3 linked regions of the Drosophila melanogaster genome follow. The gene in region 2 interacts genetically with the main gene of each other region. Each region holds a gene or a part of one and is shown on either strand. Other genes may lie near its edges. The genes, in order: slbo, trbl and Wee1.

Region 1 (5,314 bases), on a different chromosome or scaffold from region 2:
CTAACACCTTCTTGTTGGCCAAAGGGCTGGTATTTATAGCCAGTCCACCTACTTGCTAATTTGAAGTGTTTTTTTTTTAAATTTATTTTAAAAAATTTATGCTTTCAAGTTTTTATAAATAGGTAACTTTAGGTAAGCCTTGGACGATTCCAGTTAGCAGGAGGATAAGCAAATAAATAAATGACTTTGCTTTGCTTTAATCCCATTTAACCAGTAGTTTCTCCATAAACAATCTGATAAGATAAGGTGCACATGGATCGATCTTGCCTCATTTAAATTGCAGATTTCATCACCTTTCCCATCGATCGATATGGAATCAGTTCTTGGGTAACCAGACCGCACAATGCAATCCCCCAAGAACAATAAGGGTGCGTTGAATGCGTTTTGAAATACACCCGACCAGAAGAATATCTTTGTGGACGCACAAGGAAGCACTTTTGCACAATCTCGATGCAGTCATCGATATCGGCGATATTTCCGATTCGCTGCAATAGCTTGACTGATAAGCGAAGAAAAGTGGCTGTCCTGTCATCGACAGCGGAATACCCTCTTATCGTGCAACGGCGCACGGGGCGTATGATTAATAAAGTCCGGGTAAACAAAAGGTACATACACGAAGGCAGAAGACGGGGGCGAGAGGCGGGGCCGAAAGCAGGGGACGCACCTTCGGAAAGTAAACGACAACTTGACCCAAATTGCAGACTCGAAAACTCAGGAGAGTCAGCAGAGTGAGCAGAGTTAGCGGAGTGAGCACCAAGCAGAAGAGCGCCAATGGGGGAAAAGTGGAGAAGGCGACTTCACAAATCGCTGCATTTAAATAAACAAAACTACGAGCCGTGCTAATTTTTATGAATTTCATAACACAGTCTTAATTTTAATAAGACGTCGCTGCCTATTACGTGAAAGCTCCGCGATGCGTTGCGCTTCCACTGCGCAGTCACGCATGCGCGCCAAAAACAGGCCCCAATCCCCAAGCCCCCAATCCCCCGATCCACCAAGTAACTGCACTTCTGTGTTTTTTTTTGCTTTTCTGTATTTCTAAGGCGCAAAGCGAGTCGAAGCCCAAACACAAATCGGAGTGGGCAAGGCCCCAAAATGGGGGTCGGGGGTTACGCAGCGGAGTGCCGGTGTGTGCGGGCGTGGTGTTGTTGCTTCTCGCTGCGGCTGTGCGGCTCTTCTCCCAAAAAAAGCAAAAGCGACGGAACCGAAAATGAAAATGAAAACGAAAGCGAGAGCCAAGGAATAATGAGCGCTGGCTGCGCTGCCGACGTCGCGCGCTGCTGGTGTCTGTGCTCGCTTGAGCTTGTGTGGGTGCCTTGGGGCTCCCTTTTGTGTGACGTCACGCGATCGTGCGTTGCATTGAGTTTTATCATGAAATTCACTGCATCAGCGCATAACTAATACTGGATTCTAGGATGGGGTCTTAATTAAACAATTAATATCTAAACTAATATCTAAACTAACTTATGTGGAACATGTATAAATGTAATAAATTCTATATAAAAAATGTAATTATCCTATCAAATATGATATTAAGTTCCGGAAACTGAAGAAGTATCTCCCAGCTTCGTACCAAATGCACTTTGCTTGCATTCGTGCTTTTGGCCCGCACAGCAACCACAAGAATGGCCCAGTGAATTGCCTTGCGACGAGAGTAAAAGTGATTGGGAAAACTCTTGCTTTTTTACCTGATCGCGGCTCTCGCTCTCATCCACAGGTAGTTGCCTTTGCCTTTGCCTGGCTTACTTGTGCTTTGCCTGCTCTTGCTTTGCTTTTGCTCTGCTCGTGCTGTGCTGTGCTGCTGCCGCCTTTGCTTTGCTGTAACGGCGACGGCGACGGCAACGCTTGGGGCTTCGGTGTGGAGCGGTACGAGTGAATGTGTGTGTGTGTGTGTGTTACATGCGCTGGCCGCTCATTTTCTTTTTCTTCGGCTGCGTCGCTGCGCCAAAGACTTTTTCACTTTGCCGCGTTCGCGTTCGCGTTTTGTCACAGTTACAATTTACCACTCGTCGGCGACGGACGCGCGCTCTCCGCTGGCCAAGAAAATCCAAATCGAAGAAAAGCTCGCTCAGCTAACGGTTCTTCAGGAGCGTTTCTAACACCAGCACACGTACGTGTACGAGTACGAGAGTACTAGCCAACGGCAGTCGTCAGGCCGTCTCGTATAAAATCTGTTGCATCACTGCCGCGGCACTTCAGTCGTTCGAACGCGTGCGGCCGGAGAAGTGCAGTGTCGAGTTAACAAAGTAAACAAACTGAATAAAACATTTTGCGCTAAGAATCGGAAACATAATAAGCAATAGTACGATGCTCGGCTGCAGTGACCACCCAGGCAGCCTAAGATGAAGCATACGGAATAGCGAGCTATCCGAGTCGAACATTTCCAAAGACCCACTTCTTACCTCAGTGCAATGCTTTAGGCGCCAAACGAGCAAAAGTTTATTCCCAAATCTGAACTCTAAAAACAGCCAAAATTAACGCTCTACAAGGAATCAAGATTCTACCCTCCTTCGCGCAACTGAAAATGCTGAACATGGAGTCGCCGCAGATGTACGCCGATGCCGTTCAGACATTGGCCCAGCTGGACCTCAAGAAGGAGCCTCCCCTGCAGCAGGCCACCATTGGCCAGATCACACTGACGGCCATGTCCACGGCGCAGCAGCAGCAGCAACAACAGCAGCAGCAACAGCAGCAGCAACAGCAGCAGCAACAACAGCAGCAGCAGCAACCCCAGCAGCAGACTACCGATGCGAACAACAACACGTCGCAGGACGCGGCACTCCTGGTCAAGCAGCACGCCATGCACCAGATGCAACAGGTCGCCGCATTGGGCAGCAACAACAACCTGCTGCAGAAGCAGATGCTGCAGCAGTACTCCACTCAGACGGACCTGGACGAGCTGACCACCCAGGAGATCACGCTCGACCTGCAGCACCTGATAGACGACCAGTTCAGGGACACGGAAACGCTGGGCATCTTCAGCGACATGGTGACCAGTCCGGGCGGACTCTCGGCCACCCTGCCGCCGAGCGGAATGGTCTCGGCGGCGGCGAAGGTCCTGCAGCAGCAGACCCTGCGGAACCAGCACGGCTACGGGGGCAGGGGAGGCGGTGGCGGAGCAGGAGGCGCCCTGGCCTACATGCCGCAGCCCGTGCACGCCACCTACAACAATTCCAGCGACGAGAACAGCTCCGTGGGCTCCGACTCCAGCACGATCAAGGAGGAGCCCATCGACCCCGAGTACAGGCGGCACCTGCAGGAGGCGGCTAGCCAGCAGGCCGCCTTCATGGGCAATGGAGCAGGCCTGTACAACGGCTACGGATCGGGGGCGAATGGCTTGACCGGGGGCGGAAACCCACTCAACGGAGGCAACACCACGCCCAGCAGCAACGGGAGCAACGGCAGCACGGGCAGCAGCAACGGCAGCCAGTTCACCAACCTGACGACGGCCAACGTCCTGGCGCACCACAACCTGCCCCACCTGGCGGCCGCAGCAGGAGCACACAATCTGCTCAAGCAGCACAGCAAGCTGCACGCGCAGCAGCAGCATCAGCAGCACCAGCAACAGCAGCAGCACCGCAAGCACAGCAACAAGCATGTGGACAAGGGCACGGATGAGTACCGCAGGCGGCGGGAGCGGAACAACATAGCGGTGCGCAAGAGCCGGGAGAAGGCTAAGGTGCGCTCCCGCGAGGTGGAGGAGCGCGTGAAGAGCCTGCTCAAGGAGAAGGACGCCCTCATTCGGCAGCTTGGTGAGATGACCAACGAGCTGCAGCTACACAAGCAGATCTACATGCAGCTAATGAACCACGCCAATCCCGAAGTGAGCCGCGTCTGCCGCAGCTTCCTCAACACCAACGAACACTCGCTGTAGCCGCTGCCAGCTAAAGCCAGTGTCCTGCGAGTTCTGTGTGTGCGTGAGTGCTTGAATGCTTGAGTGCTCGTGTGTGTGTGTGTATGAGTGTGTGAGTGCTCCAGCCGTAAGTGTGTGCGTGTGAGCGAGACTCTGCTAAATCAAAGATACAAATGCTGTGTGGGTAGCTCGTAAGGTTCATTCTCCTCCTGCTCCTCATTGTCCTCTCTGGCCGTAGACGATGGAGCGGTCGCGCCAAGTTGGTGGGCCGCTGCATCGCTTGGAGACCAAACTCTTCTGCCGATCGCTGTGGCATTCCTTGTACATTTACTCTGTCCCCATTTCTTGTTATCACTGTAAAGCATATTTTTGTACTTAATTCTAATTCTTAACGACTGTAACATATATATTTCGCACGTTTTTATACATAATCTTATACATTATATCTATCATAAAGTTAAGCCAAAGAAAAATGTTAAAAATATTAATGTAAAAAAGAATAACACGCAGGAACGAAGAACGAAAATACAAACTTCAAAACCTATTAACTATTTATACATCTAATTCAAATGTGTACAGTTCTCGACGGTGTGCGGCTTCGCTCTATGCTTGATGCCACGCCCACTCCCACGCCCAGCCCTGCTTGACACACAACATTAGCAAATCTCTAGTTCGTAAGTCGGAGAATCAAGCATCGCTTTACCTGCACAATCCCCAGAGGAAAGCCTCCCGAAATCAACCAACTTGTAGCGAATTCCACGGGTTCGCTTCCGAGAGCGTAGAAGATATGAATGCTATTAATTGTAAGGCAAACGCAATGTTCTCATTTTAATTTATATATTCGTAAATTAAATATACACAAACAAAGAAAACTGTAAAGCAAATCTAAACAAATTAAATAAAATTTACCTTATACAAAGAATCGGCTTGTCGTGCGTTTTGACTAAAACCCAAATGAATTTCAGATAACTTCTTAATTTCCACAGTTCAACTACCAATCTGCAATTAGCCCTAGCCACAATTTGATGCAAAAGCCCTGCCAAAAAGTGTCTAATTAAATGTCGGCCATACTTGGGCGACAAAACGATACGCTGGGCGAAGACCAGAAAGAGACGCACCACCACCGCATTGGGAGGGCAGGGTCTTTCTTCTGTCCGCCGTCTTCTGTCTTCGCTGTCTTCGCTGTCTTCCGATGGGACAAATACGACAAGGCAATGCATTTCGGGCTGCCAGGCGCGACACTGGGCCAATTGCAGGGAGGAAGGAGGGCGAAGTGGAGGACCCCAGACAATCGCAAGGCGGCCGTGTTGACACAATTTGACAGTAAGACAAACCCGAAACGAAAAGCAAATTTATAAACGACAAAGCGAAAAAGAATTAATGCAACTCGAGAAACCGACAAATTAACGCGCCAGAGAAAGCCCAAACAAAAGCCACAGAGCCACGGAGCCAGAGAGCCAA
Region 2 (7,829 bases):
CCGCATTCAGCAGCTATTCACAATATTAGTTTACTGCTATTGTGGAGCAAAGTCGCAAATATTTCCGTAGCCAAAGTCACGTTCGCCCACCTGATAACTTCCAGTCACTGGGTTGCATTATCAGGTTGGGAATCTGCTGCTCGGTAATGGGAATCTCAGCAACAACAATAACTAATTTGTTGACTTTCGACACTCGAGAGAATTCTCGATTTTGTGACGTGAACTATTCATTAATCTCCTTCATGAAGAAAATAGATTGGACAGTTTTGTTTTCATATTTTTGACCAAACATTATCTGATCTTAATCAAATGTTGAATTTTACTAGTACACAATATGACGCATCTAGAACCAAAAAATCGTATTTTCCCCTGACTCATTGTTTTCATCTTTTGTAGCCTTCCGCTTCTTGAGAATCTAGAATCTTCATGTTAAGCTCATAGTCTGGTTGACTAATTACACATTTATAAATATTTACAATCTTGTGTCAATAAATAAAAACAGCGTTTTTTACCCCAGAGCCCTAAAGAAACAAATTCGAATTATTCTTGGTGAGATCAAATTTCAATGTATTATGTTCTTTTTTGCAATTTTCACTTACAAGATTTTAAGAGTACACAAAGCGTAATACAGAAGTATTAAATAATAAATAACAATTTGCATTCGTTGCATTTTTTAACATGGAAACTAATGTGTTTTAAAGCCCAAAAGCAAATCAGGGCGACTGTCCTTTGATAAGATCAACAGTTTGCAAAAAAATTAAAATGTTAAATGTATTGTACATAGGTAGGTTTTAGGAAGAATCGGTTGCAGAGAGGAGGCTGCGGAGCGGCGTGATTCTTGAACGAATCGAATCGGGGCTGCAGCGCGATTGGAAGGCAGTGAGTTCTTGTGTGTCTAAGCTTTAAGTCTTTGTTGGCAGTACCACCTGCAGGAAGACGACGTGGAACGCAGTCGGAGTCGGCGCGACCCGGAAGGCCAGGATGTCCACAGTGTCATATCATCCGATATGCCCAGTCCCGGCGGCTAATCAGTCGGCATTCAGCCGGATGCAGCCAACGCGCCAGCGTGTCCCAGAATGCAACCCGTGGGTGACTCCACGAGCTCCAATCAGCCCATGTCCACATCCGTATCGGGTTCGGGTTCCGTGGACAGCCCATTGGCATTCTGAGCCATTTGGAGCGTGGAGCGCGTGTAGTCCAATGGCTCCACGCCAATGTCCTCGTACTCGTGCTTGTCACCCAAGGGACAGAGTCCTTCCTCGTCATCATCCATCGCATCGGCGGCAGTGCCTTCGTCCTCCTCCGCATCGCTCCAGTCCTCGGCCACCTCCACGTCGACTGGCAGGTACATGTGGAAGGGGCGCTGCTCTCGCAGCCACGGGGTAAGGAAGATGTGGCTGGCGGTCATTCGTTCCGTGTAATCCTTCCGCAGCAGCGAAAGCAACAGCCATCGCACCGACTTAGACAGCGTCAGGGGTATCTGGACATTCCCGTGGCGTATGACGGTGATGAGGTTGCAGTTGGCCTTCTCGTAGAACGGGTACTGACCCACCAACATGGTGTACAGGATCACGCCCAGCGACCACATGTCCGCCGGTTTGCCCTTGTACGTTTGCTGGGGGCACAGCAGTTCTGGAGCGGTGTACAGTGGGCAACCGATCTTGTCGCTCAGAGTATCGTCCTCGCCGTCGAGGATCATTGAGCCTTCCAGTGATTCATACTGCAGTTTCGTTCTGTAATTAGCAAATGACAAAATCGAATAAATAATCCGCCAAAATAGGGTACAAAATATATGTTTATGCTTCTTAGAAATAAAACTAACAGTCTTTTTTTTACCCGTTTCTATTAATATGTTGAGAACTATTGTTGCCAAAGAAGAGTAGATATGACTGCAACTTGAGTTGGCACTGCCACTATTCTGATCGCAACTGTACCCGTTCATCAGACCCATCGTCGAGCTCTACATCATGTGCAATCCCTGGGACTTGCATAACCCCCGATTTTGTGGGGCCATTAGCTAGCGCAATATCGAAGAGACTTGAATCGATCGGCCACGGAGCTTCAGTTTCAGTTGTAGTTGTCTTTGGCGTTGGCGTATTGACAAGTCAAAAGGCAAATTGGCCGAGAGAGCACATTGTGAGCTGAGCTGAGTTGACTTGGATTGGTGACGAAAGCGCAGCTTGCGACCCCCGACACCCATGAGCGAGTGCCGCCGCCGCCGCCGCCTCCGCCCCTGCACTCCACTCCACTCCCCCTCCATTGGGCCACTCCACTCCATTGACATTGGCCCACATTCGAATGCAAAAAGCAAAAAAGTAACGAAAACGCCAGCGAGCACAGCGCATAGATCCAAAGAGAGTCCGCTGTGTGAGCTGCGTGAGTAGTAAGGTGAGGTGGAGTGACGTATCGCAACTTGTTGCTGCAACGGCGCTTCTGCTGGGACCCGAGCACCACTACCAACATTGGGTATTCCGCCGATAGCGAACGGAGCGATATACAAACACACGGTCGCCGCGGTCTGGTATCCAAACATCCAAAGAGCCAAACACAAAGCAGGCCAAAAAAACCTCGAGCTGACCCTGAACAAAAACAAGCTTTGAAAACGCGCCTCTCCTCGGCACAAATCACAGTGTACACTGAAAGAAACAAATTACCTTCAACTTGATAGCAACAGGTGGGCAATCAATAAGAGGGAAAAGAGATAGCGCATTTAAATAATATATTCAAAGAACACGGTTCTTAATTAAGAGCATGTTTCTATACATTTGTTTTCGGGTTTCATTTGATTTTTGTGTCCTCTATCGTCTAGTTACCCCATTCGATACAGAAACATTATAAACTTATATTTAAGATCAAGGCAAGCATATATAATTATACTTTTAAGATCAAGGTTTTATGTGAACCAATATTTATATTTTTGAGTGCACGGAAGGCAGGTGGAGATGTGATGAGGAGAATAGTTACAGCTGCTGACCTCGATGCGCGACATAACCGAGCTTTGAAGAGCGTCTTGTGGATCTCTTCTTTCCCTCTCTCTCTCTCTCTCGCTCTATACGTTTGGCACACATTAACCCGCGACAGAGGTTAAAATAAAATCGGAATCGAAACGAAATACGGAAAACCGGCGCCGCATAAATGCTCAAACACCTTGGAAGTATTTACGTACGGCAAAAGAGTAGACAAAATAAAAGTATGAACCAGAGATTTTTACATGCATAAGCATACGCATTTGTATATGGGAGGCACTGGCATATATGCATGTACATAAATGCGTTCAAATACAGAAGATCAGAGTCAGGGACATTCACCGCACTGTGACCTTAAAAATTCGGCTCGTTATTTGGTTGTGCGTGTGTGTGGCCGCCCCGTTGGACATATGTAGATATGGATATGGCCACGCCCATAGCCCATATAGTATGTATGTACACCCAGCGAGCACTTATCTATATAGCGATGTATTATTCGAATGGAAATGGGAATGGAAGTGAGCGCCAGTAATCGCAGCGCATTTGAGTCGTATTGAACACTTGTTGTTTATTTCTCGCCAAGGTGAGAGAAGTATAGTATAGATAGAGATCTATGGGTTGGTTTCTTCCTTCCGCCGTTTTGCACTTGGCACAGAACGACGAAATGACGAAAAAATCAGCAGATATTGCGCTAATTGCAGAGTCATACGAAATCGACCAAATGTTCAAGTCGTTCCATGCTGATGTCAGTACAATTTCGAAGATAATAAGAACGGGAGACAGCGCGTTTTCGATACAGTTGTGTTAATTAACATATGCGAAAATACATTTTCGATGAAGGTGGGGTCAATATTTCATCATCCACTGTAAACTCACACACGGGAAATCGACAAATCAAGCGAACGCCGAGTACGTGGCCCACAGATCCCCACCCCAAAACCATATTGCAAATGCTATGTTGAACAATTCTTGAAATGTGGCAATTTCTAGCTTCCGAAATGTGTAATGAAAAAACGAGTGAGCCAACATTTTGGCCATCAGTGTGGCACATTGGGCCCTTGTGTACGAGTATGTACACAGAGATACAGTCGGGGTCTGCAAAATAAGGCATATGCTTGCTCACTGAATGGCAATTCAATGATATTACATAAATAATAATTCTTTAGCTACAAAGCTAATACACCATGTTAATTAATAGTTTAATAATAGGTGTATTTCAAAAACTTATCTTTGAAATTATTTAACATTTTTGATCTTATTCCCATTCATTTTTGCAATGCTTCGCATAGTAGGAATATATTTTTACTTATAAAATTAGTTTGAAACTACCATTATACCCTGTGCTGTACATACGTACGCCTTGCGTTCATTCGGTTTGTCAGTATAATTGTTGTTGTTGGCCTATTGGTGATTCGATTGCAACACTTGTTAAATGTTCAATGTTACCCACAACGACGGCGCCAGCAACAAAAACAAAAGCAACAACAGCAGCAGCAGCAGCAACTACAACAACATGGGCCAATAACAAGAGCAACAATTGTGGCACCACCAACACACGACCACAAACAAGATCTCTCGCTCATAACGAGTTTCCATCGAATTGCAAAATAAACCGACTAGCCAGCCATATGCAATTGAGTTGGTATAAGTCAGGCATATGTGGCGTATATTGGTGTATATGGGTTTTTCGAAGGTGTCACCTGGACACGCAACTCACCTGGCCTCGTCGATGAAGTAGAACCGCTTGAGCTTGAGGTCCCTGAGGATAATCCCGTTGCGGTGGCACACCTGAACAGTCTGACAGATCTGGTGGAATATGGCCCTCGCCTCCGTCTCGCACAGTCGCTTCGCGTGGCGGATGTAGGTGTGCAGGTTCTCGTACACCCCGGTCACCCCACCCGTGGAGTCCCTCTCCTGGGGCACGGGCGCAATGAGGATGTAGGTGCGATCCTTGGTAAGCGGTATGATATCGTGCACGGGTCGGATCAGTGGATGGCCATAGATGGTGCTCCGGCGTAGCTCCTCGTCGTGCTGCTGCAGCTGAAAGTAGGCTCGTTGCACCTTATGCAACGGTTCGTTTACAATACGGCAGAGGAACTGCTCCCCGGTGAAGATGTCCACGCAGCGCAGATTGGAGGCGGTTAGATCGACCAAGTGGCGATACGAGGCGGGAGTCTTGGCAGCCACGGCGGCCGATATGTGACTAGGCTGTGCGCTGATCAGATAACGCTGTTGGATGAGCTTGACGGGCTGCTGGTCTGTGGGTTCCGCTGCGATGCCCAGGGCCAGAAGGTCACAGGCTCCGCCGGGCGTCATTAGCTTCTCCCTGATGGTCTGCAGCATCTTGGCATTGGGGAACTCCTTTTTGGGCGTAAATAATCCCAGTACGGTGTCCTCCTGGCTGCTACTCATGCCGCTGCTGCTGGATGATGAGGATGAGGAGGTGGCGGCTGCGACTCCTGGCGAGACTGGTGACGAATAGTTGACTATTTTGCTTGTGGACGCTGACGAAGCCGTTCTGCTGTTTTGACCGCTACTGTTATCCATGCTTGCTTGTGTTTACCACTTCACTTAACTTTATCACAGTTCTTGCTCTCGCTACGTTTTCTTCGTCTTATTCTCTGCTAATGCTTCTTCTTACTAATTTTGTTACTCCGCTTTAGCCTGGCTGTACTTGGCTGTTAATTGTTTTGACATTTAGCGACGCGCCGTTTAGTCTCCGATTAAATTCGATTTAAACTCTCGTTTAAACTCAGGGCTACTACTACTTCGGTAGTTTGGCCATTTGCAATGCGGGTACTGACGAAATGCGGCGATTTTAAAACAAATCGGACGCTGCTCACTGAACTCGCGAAACGAAACGAACGCGACCGTCTTCTCCGCAGTTTGAATTTCAAATGTGACCATCCACGCGGTCGGAAGAAGCACGAAGCGAAGAGAACGGCGAAATACAACGGCTCTCTTTCGCACCCTCTTGCTCGCTCTCACTGCACCGATCCTTCTCTGCCTCGCTCACACCCGTTGCAGGAATTTAGCTCAATGCGGTCGGAATGGAAAGAGAAGTGGGAGACCAGAGAGCGTCGTTATTTTTTGAAATCCAAATGGTTGGGAGAGAGAGAAAGAACAAGAGCATCGTTATTTTTGAAAAAATTGCGCTGAACGCTGAAATTCCGATTCCAACTGAATTCGAAATACGTAGCTGTATGAACACTATACCCACAGCAACCCTTAAACTTTTCTTCTACGATTTTACGTAGTAATCTGCGCACCAATAAATCGTGGCGATAAGTTAATTAGAGGGGGTTAGTAAACTGATAAAATCCACAGTTTTAAGATCAAATTAATGAAAGTACAGTCAGCTTGAACTTCGATTTTGTTTTATTGAGTACGGGTACGGATATCGAAGGCAGAAACACCCGTATAACCATCTCTATAACTCGAAAATATCTTTTGTGGTTTCTTGGCTTGGATACTTAAGGTTTTCTCCTGCTCTGATAAGGTAATATTTTACAAGTTTGGTTGAAATTATTTGTTTTCCCATAGTTACGAAATTTTTAAACCAAATTCAATGATGATGTGCAGTTTTTGAGTAGTTGCTTTGCAAACTACTATTATTATAAAAAAACATAAAACATAAAACATTTTAATATCCTAATATACATACAAATTTAAAATTAAGAAATTTGTCTTCTTAATACTCCAGATTAAGATCTCTTATATCCCTAAGTATATGACCACAGATGGACATTTCAGATGTACAAACATAGTTCTAGTAAATCCTAGAATTTAAATAAATGCTCCCAAACTCGAATCTTCAAATAACGCTTCAATCTCTTGGATCCAAATCGATCATTGAATTTTTTCCTGTGCGAGATCATTACTCATTTGTGTGTGTGTATGTGGATTTACCTTGCTGTTTACCTCGCGGTGCAGACGATTTCATGATTTTTGCAGCTGTCCGAAACGAGGATCACTGGGCTACGCAGGAATTACGACAGCAACAGAAGGCAGTTATCCGAGATCCTCAAGGAGCAGGTAAGAACCACCGAGCGGCATTATGTCGCAGGTAGATTCCTACATACATATGTCAGCTGCACTATTCCACCCCTAAGCACTATATGGCAGATATAGTGCATCGGTGCAGGGCTGTACATGCGATGCAGTTGCAGTTGCAGCTGGCGCAAGGTGATTTCCCACTAAAGACATCCGTCTGAGGATACACAGGAGCACATTCGCGGTCACAATAATAGGAACTATCGCAATCGAATCTTTAGTAATTGGAAATGAGGGTCTTTAAATATAATTTTTAAGACCGAATTGTTGGACTAAAAGACCTGAAAAATGTATTTTTAAAATCGTTGATAGAATTGGTACAATTGTAGGTTAGATATAACTCATTTAGTTTTGAATTTTTTCATTCTGGGATACTGGGATTTTGAATACTAATATTTTCACCGCAACTGTTTATGCAGGCTTGTATTTCGTCCATTGGTTTTCACCGATCTCTTCGATTGAATTCTTCATATTGTAACGCTCTTTTTGAAACGCAACGTCCGTCTTTGCTTCTTCTTCCCACGAAGTAGCCGATAAATACGAATGCGAAAATCGCGAACAGAACAAATAACACCAACAAACCTCTCTTTTCGCCCGTCCCTTTTCCAAAGTCTTGCATCTGTTTCTCGAAAGGAAGATTGAAACGAGAATTATACTGGTACCGTGACACCAATGCAACCGAAAAGGGGGGAAATTATAGGGGTGGCGACATCAAATTGAATTTGAAAAATATTTTATTTGCATACGACATACTTATTTGCAAGCAATTAATGTTTCACTCTGGTCACTGCACTCACTTATACGATTAAA
Region 3 (5,369 bases), on a different chromosome or scaffold from region 2:
GTCCCGTCATCGGTTTTAATAGCCACTTGACCAGGGCCTACGTTCCGGATAGTGGTCACCGCATGCTGAACGCTGGCATAAGGAACCAACAGGGTGGCGGTGGCAATGGAGGTGGAGGAGGAGGCTACGGGCAAGGAGGCGGCTACGGCCAGGGAATAGGCGGAAACCAAGGACAGAGCTATCAGAACAATAGCCGAAACTATAACTACAACTACAACAATAACTACAATCAGCACCAGGGTGGCGGCTATCAAAACAACTACAATAACCGACAGCAGCAGCAATATGGCCACAATCAGAGATTCAACCAGGACAATTCGAATCAGCAGCAGCGCAACTTTAACAACTATAATGGTCCAAGGAACAACAACTACCAGCAACAAGGCGGCAGCAGGCAACAGAATCAGAATTATAGACGGTTTTAGGTGTATCATACAAACAATATAATATGTAGCGCATAACAAAAGTGTAATCCATATTAATTTACATTATTTTTTAATGAAGAAAATATACTGATTAAGGATTTCCAAACAAACTCATGCCAAGTTCTGAGTTTGTTCTTTAAATGAAATACCCATTGCATTTCTATCAAAGCAGCTTACAGCCAACATCTAGTCTTAGTGCCTCAAAGAAAATAAGTCAAATTACAATAATGATCATTTCTCTTTCCATTGATTGCGTAAAAAAAGCAAACTAGCTGGATAATACAAAAAAATGAGACGATTGTTATTTTCAGATAAGGAAAATGGAACATAATTTGACAGGAAATTGGATAATATCAAAACAATTTCTAGTGGAGTAAACAATTGAATTTAAGAAAAACTTCGCAAACATTTTGTTTTAAATCCGGAGTCATAATAAATCCAGTAGTTTTTATGGAATAGCATTCGCTATATTTAACGAATGGAATGTTATTATTTCGATTTCCATGTAACATAATAAATATTTTAATTTCGAAAACAATACTCATTACAACTATGCGAGAATCTTAAAGTTTACAAGGGGCTTTTCTTAAAACGATTGTGCTTTCTTAACAGGGAAAAGTTCACTGAGCTTGAAAAATATATAGATTATATTTACGAATGCTTCAAAATCCATGAGCTTAAACGAAAGCGAATAGTTAGAAATATGTATCGATTATATGAATACGCTTAAAAGGTAACACAATGTGAGCTTAGTTCACGTTCGATTCGGAAGAGTTTAGCTATCGGTTCGGCATCTGTTGCGAGCTTATCAGATATTGGTGATAACGTTCTTGTTGCGATCGGATATGCTGTCGAACTTGCCATGGCTGGAGAATGGCGTGCGCATGCGTCGCGTGAAGCTGCGAAGGCAACGCTGTCCATCCAGACTGTCCGGATTGTTAGTCACCGCAAGAAGATTGACTAAAATGAGTTGCAGAAACGTTAGAAATTGTAAACATCCAGATAACCAACCACCTTAAAGTTTAAGTTGTTATACAACTATTTATCTTATCTTACCTCGTTGCTCGAGCAGTTTAATCTGTTTTTTGGCCTCTCTCAGCTTGTTCATCAGTATCTCGTTCTTGCGCTTCTCCACGGTCAGCTCCAGGCCGAGCTGCAGCTTGCTCTTGGAGTCAACAGCACTCAGAATTCTGCAAATTAAACGAACATTATATGTATTTAGTGTGAGCACATTTATCTTAAATGCAACTAAATATGATTGTCGCTTATACTGTCGACTCAATTTACTTACGGATGACTGAATATAGACTGCGAAGTGGGCCTCTTGTCGGGATAAGGATGCATCATCTGGGCTATGAGCTCGTTAAAATCCCTGCTCAGGCTCGGCAGAATCGGCACCTTGCCATCTCGCAAGTTGTGCCATTCGGGTCCATTTTTAGGCAGCGGACCACCGCCGGCCGCCTCGAACAGCGTGATGCCCAGGGAAAATATGTCGGCCTTGAAGAGATTCGAATAATCCTCGTGAAGGATCTCCTTGGGCAGGTAACGACAGTCTCCCTCCTCGACGTAGGGTTCCTTAACGGAGGTCACGTGTCCCAGGTCGCCGATCTTGTACGTAACCAGATTCTCTGAATGGCGCAGTTCTTCATAGACGCTGTCCATGCCATCGTCATCTTTGGTCTGCTGCGGCTGCACCTCCACCAGCTTGTGTGCATTGGGATTCATGGTGGAGAATATGTTTTCGGGCTTCAGATCCATGTGCACCAGGTCATTTGAATGAATATAGCGTAGGCCCTCTATCACATGCATGAGAACAATCTTTAGCTCTGCCTCACCCAAACAATGATCTTGGATGCGCGCGTGCAAGCTGCCACCATCGCAGAATTCATTCTGTATCAGCATATGATCGTCCTCCGCCCACGCGGAATAGTATCTAACCACGTTATCGTGCTTGCCCAATACAGCATGGGCCCAGACCTCGTTCAGGGCTCTCTTTCTGCAAGCAAATAGATTGTTAAACGACGCTCGTTGCAATAACTAATGAATACTCACTCGAAAGAACTGCCTGCCACCGGCTTCTTACTCTTTTTAATCGCATATATGCAGCCATCTAGTCGATTGACGCATTGGAACACCACACCGAACTCGCCAACGCCGATTACGTTGACTTGCATGAACTCCCGCTTGAAGCGACTGATGTTCGTGTCGTGCAGGGCCAGCCGCTTGGGTGCCTGCTGGTGGATTTCGCGCATCGAGTCGCCCGCCTCCTCCGTCACATCGTCGTCGCAGGCATCACTGAGCAAATACTTTTGCATAGCATTCACGTTCAGGTTGAGGTTTTCGCGTCCGAATTGCGTGCGACAGCGCTTCTTATTGTGAGCCATGAGGCCTAAAAATAAAAAAAATGATTATTAGATTGCTAATAAGACTAAGCTGGGATGGGTTAAAGTGGAGTGCAAATTAAAGCAACGAACTGGAAATTGATACCTTTATTTAATTAAAATATCAAAAGCGAGAAACGTTTTAAACTTACTATCTGGCGTGAAGGGGTTCACATTTGCCGTGTCCTGGGTGGGCAGTTTGCGGTTGTGCAGTGGCAGAGATCGCGGGCGCTCTGACAGGCGGAAGAGGTCGTCGCTGCGCCTGGAGGCATTCACTGCCGCTGCTGCCGCCGACAGATGGTTGCTGCACTGCGTCGTCGACTTCTGCAGGATGGTCTTTGGAGTGGCCGGTGTGCTAAAGAGTCGCAGGGCCCGCACCTTTTGGCATGGCGGCGACATGGACACGTCCCCGTCGCCGCCTTCTTTGCCTATCTTACTGTCCAGCTGCTGCTCCTCACCGGAGGATAGCTTCGGCCGCTGCTGAAGGGGATGCTGCGGACTCGCTCCCTCGGGCGTGTCCTTGTCAAAGTCATCATCGGCGAAGCGGAGCTTGCGCGGATTGAAGACCTGCGGCGATGGCGAACGCGATCTCAGTTCGACGCTTGAATCGAGTGAGGTGACGCTCATCTCGTGCTCCGACTGGCGGAATGCCATTGTTGCTGTAGCTGTCCAGCTGACCACGTTGAAAGACGATTCTGTTCGTTATTTCTGATTTCAGAACTATTTGTATGGAAGCCGGCGGCAGTAAAGTAAAGGCAATAGTTAAAAAAAATGCAAAACAAAACACAAAACAAAATTTAACTGGAGGAATGCTAGTCTAATAATGTGGCCGTACCCGATGCGCAATAAAATACCAGCTCTGACTGAAAAAATACTAAGTAACTGGAAGTGCAGAGTTACCAAACAAACAAAATACTAAACATCTGGCAAAAATACCAATTTAAATAATGCGCACCTACTTCTAAACTGAGTGACCAGACTTGTTCAAGACCGCATAAAGCCCGCCAAATTCAAATGGAAAACAACTAATTTTGGCATTTAATTTATTGATTGAATATCTGTATTTTAGTGTTCAGCGCATTTGCTACATAATTCAAACACACATCTCAAGAATCCATACATATGTATTTTTTTAATACTTAACTATGACATCAATGTATGAATAATTATTATGCACTGTTGCAATACTTAATTATTACGAATATAGAAACACATCATACAGAGATTGGAGTCAAATAATCAAGTTGTTGTGTTGCATAAATTGAAAATTGTGTAAAATTGACATGAAAATGGTGGCGATGCTTCGTCCTCTGCACATTCGAGTATAATTCCAGGGTAAGCAAAATAAAATCCAAGGCAAATCAATTTACATAGCAATCCTGACTAGATCGTTAATCTGCGGCTGCCGATACATTTCTATATCTTAAATTTCCTTCCGTCAAATGATTTTCCGAAGCGCTCTCCTTTGTTCTGCGTGTGCTTGTATTTGTTGTTGTGTTGGAACATTAGAATACCTAAATATGCAAACTCGAGTTCCACTATAAATTAAAACCCTTAACTAATATGGTTTTGGACAACTAAAAACCTTAGATGGATACTGCATGAAAAAGTATTTGGGAATCTGTCTTGTTACACGTGAGGTTGTTTCTTTTGGGAATGAGGATTAGAGTCCAGTGCGTGGAGAGCCCATCTCGCCGGATTCATCGGGGGGTTGCAGCTCCGGCCCTCATCATCGCATGTCGGGCTCCGTCTGCATCCGTTCGCTGTCGCTAGTCCCTTGAAACGGATCGTGAGGCGGACGAGTCACCACGACGCCTGGGCGGCGATCCACGGCGCACCGCTGGCGACGCCGATCGAGATCGGGAACGCGACCGCGGCGATCCCCTAACCCGGTCATCGTCCTCATCCTCATAGCGCCGTTTTGGCGGCGGCGGTGAATCTACCGCTCCACTGCCGTTGCGCTCGTGGTCGCTGTACCTCGACGCCGATCCGTTCTCGTCCCGTCCGTTCGAGCGGCCGGAGCGACGGCCCACCGAGCCGGCGGAGCGACTGCGGGATCGAGTTCCGGACTTGGAGCGAGTGCGCCTGCGTCGCGATGTGCTCCGAGATCTGCTGAATGAGTTGCTTCTGGAAATGAAATGGGATAAATCGTCGTGATTAGCTATCAGGCTTTTCAAAAAACGTAACAATTTAAGCTACCTTATATATGTATATACTAATATACTAATACATTTAAATATATTATAGTGTGCTATATTATTTGAAACATTGTAAGTATCAAAACTAGCTTTTAGCAGATTAAGTTTTAACAGCTTATTGAATAAAACACAAGACAGTATAATATTCTAGAACCTCTCCCAGTTTTAATTCTGCATTTCACATAAAGATCACATGTATAATATAGCTTGCTCAATGCTTGCCGCCCTTCTTTTTGTAGTGCTTGTGGCCGTGCTTCTTGGAGCCCTTCTCGCCGTGCTCCTTCTTCTCCTCGAAGCTGTCGCCGTACTTGTGCTCCTTCTTGTACTTCTTGTGGTCCTCGTCGTGGTGACCCTTCTTGTAGTGT

The links.
Region 1: of trbl (region 2) and slbo, changing one suppresses a phenotype caused by changing the other (phenotypic suppression), as found in Drosophila melanogaster (2 studies listed by BioGRID).
Region 3: of trbl (region 2) and Wee1, changing one enhances a phenotype caused by changing the other (phenotypic enhancement), as found in Drosophila melanogaster (one study listed by BioGRID).

The regions. Positions count from the first base shown.
Region 1 is NT_033778.4:24,330,981-24,336,294, reverse strand, and holds slbo (slow border cells), read left to right. Parts: upstream 1-1,987; 5' UTR 1,988-2,524; coding exon 2,525-3,874; 3' UTR 3,875-4,773; downstream 4,774-5,314. UniProt on the Drosophila melanogaster protein: Required for the expression of gene products mediating border cell migration. Among the DNA sequences that this protein binds with high affinity is a conserved site within the promoter of its gene.
Region 2 is NT_037436.4:20,395,743-20,403,571, forward strand, and holds trbl (tribbles), read right to left. Parts: upstream 5,868-7,829; 5' UTR 5,514-5,867; coding exon 4,684-5,513; intron 1,734-4,683; coding exon 1,109-1,733; 3' UTR 546-1,108; downstream 1-545. UniProt on the Drosophila melanogaster protein: Adapter protein that negatively regulates different signaling pathways to coordinate cell differentiation, proliferation, migration and growth.
Region 3 is NT_033779.5:6,910,468-6,915,836, forward strand, and holds Wee1 (Wee1 kinase), read right to left. Parts: upstream 3,672-5,369; 5' UTR 3,461-3,671; coding exon 2,959-3,460; intron 2,815-2,958; coding exon 2,478-2,814; intron 2,422-2,477; coding exon 1,717-2,421; intron 1,616-1,716; coding exon 1,482-1,615; intron 1,386-1,481; coding exon 1,234-1,385; 3' UTR 623-1,233; downstream 1-622. Other genes in the region: Rat1 5'-3' exoribonuclease, read left to right, coding at 1-425; x16 splicing factor, read right to left, coding at 4,576-4,933; CG32829 (uncharacterized protein), read right to left, coding at 5,216-5,369. UniProt on the Drosophila melanogaster protein: Acts as a negative regulator of entry into mitosis (G2 to M transition). This kinase specifically phosphorylates and inactivates cyclin B1-complexed CDC2.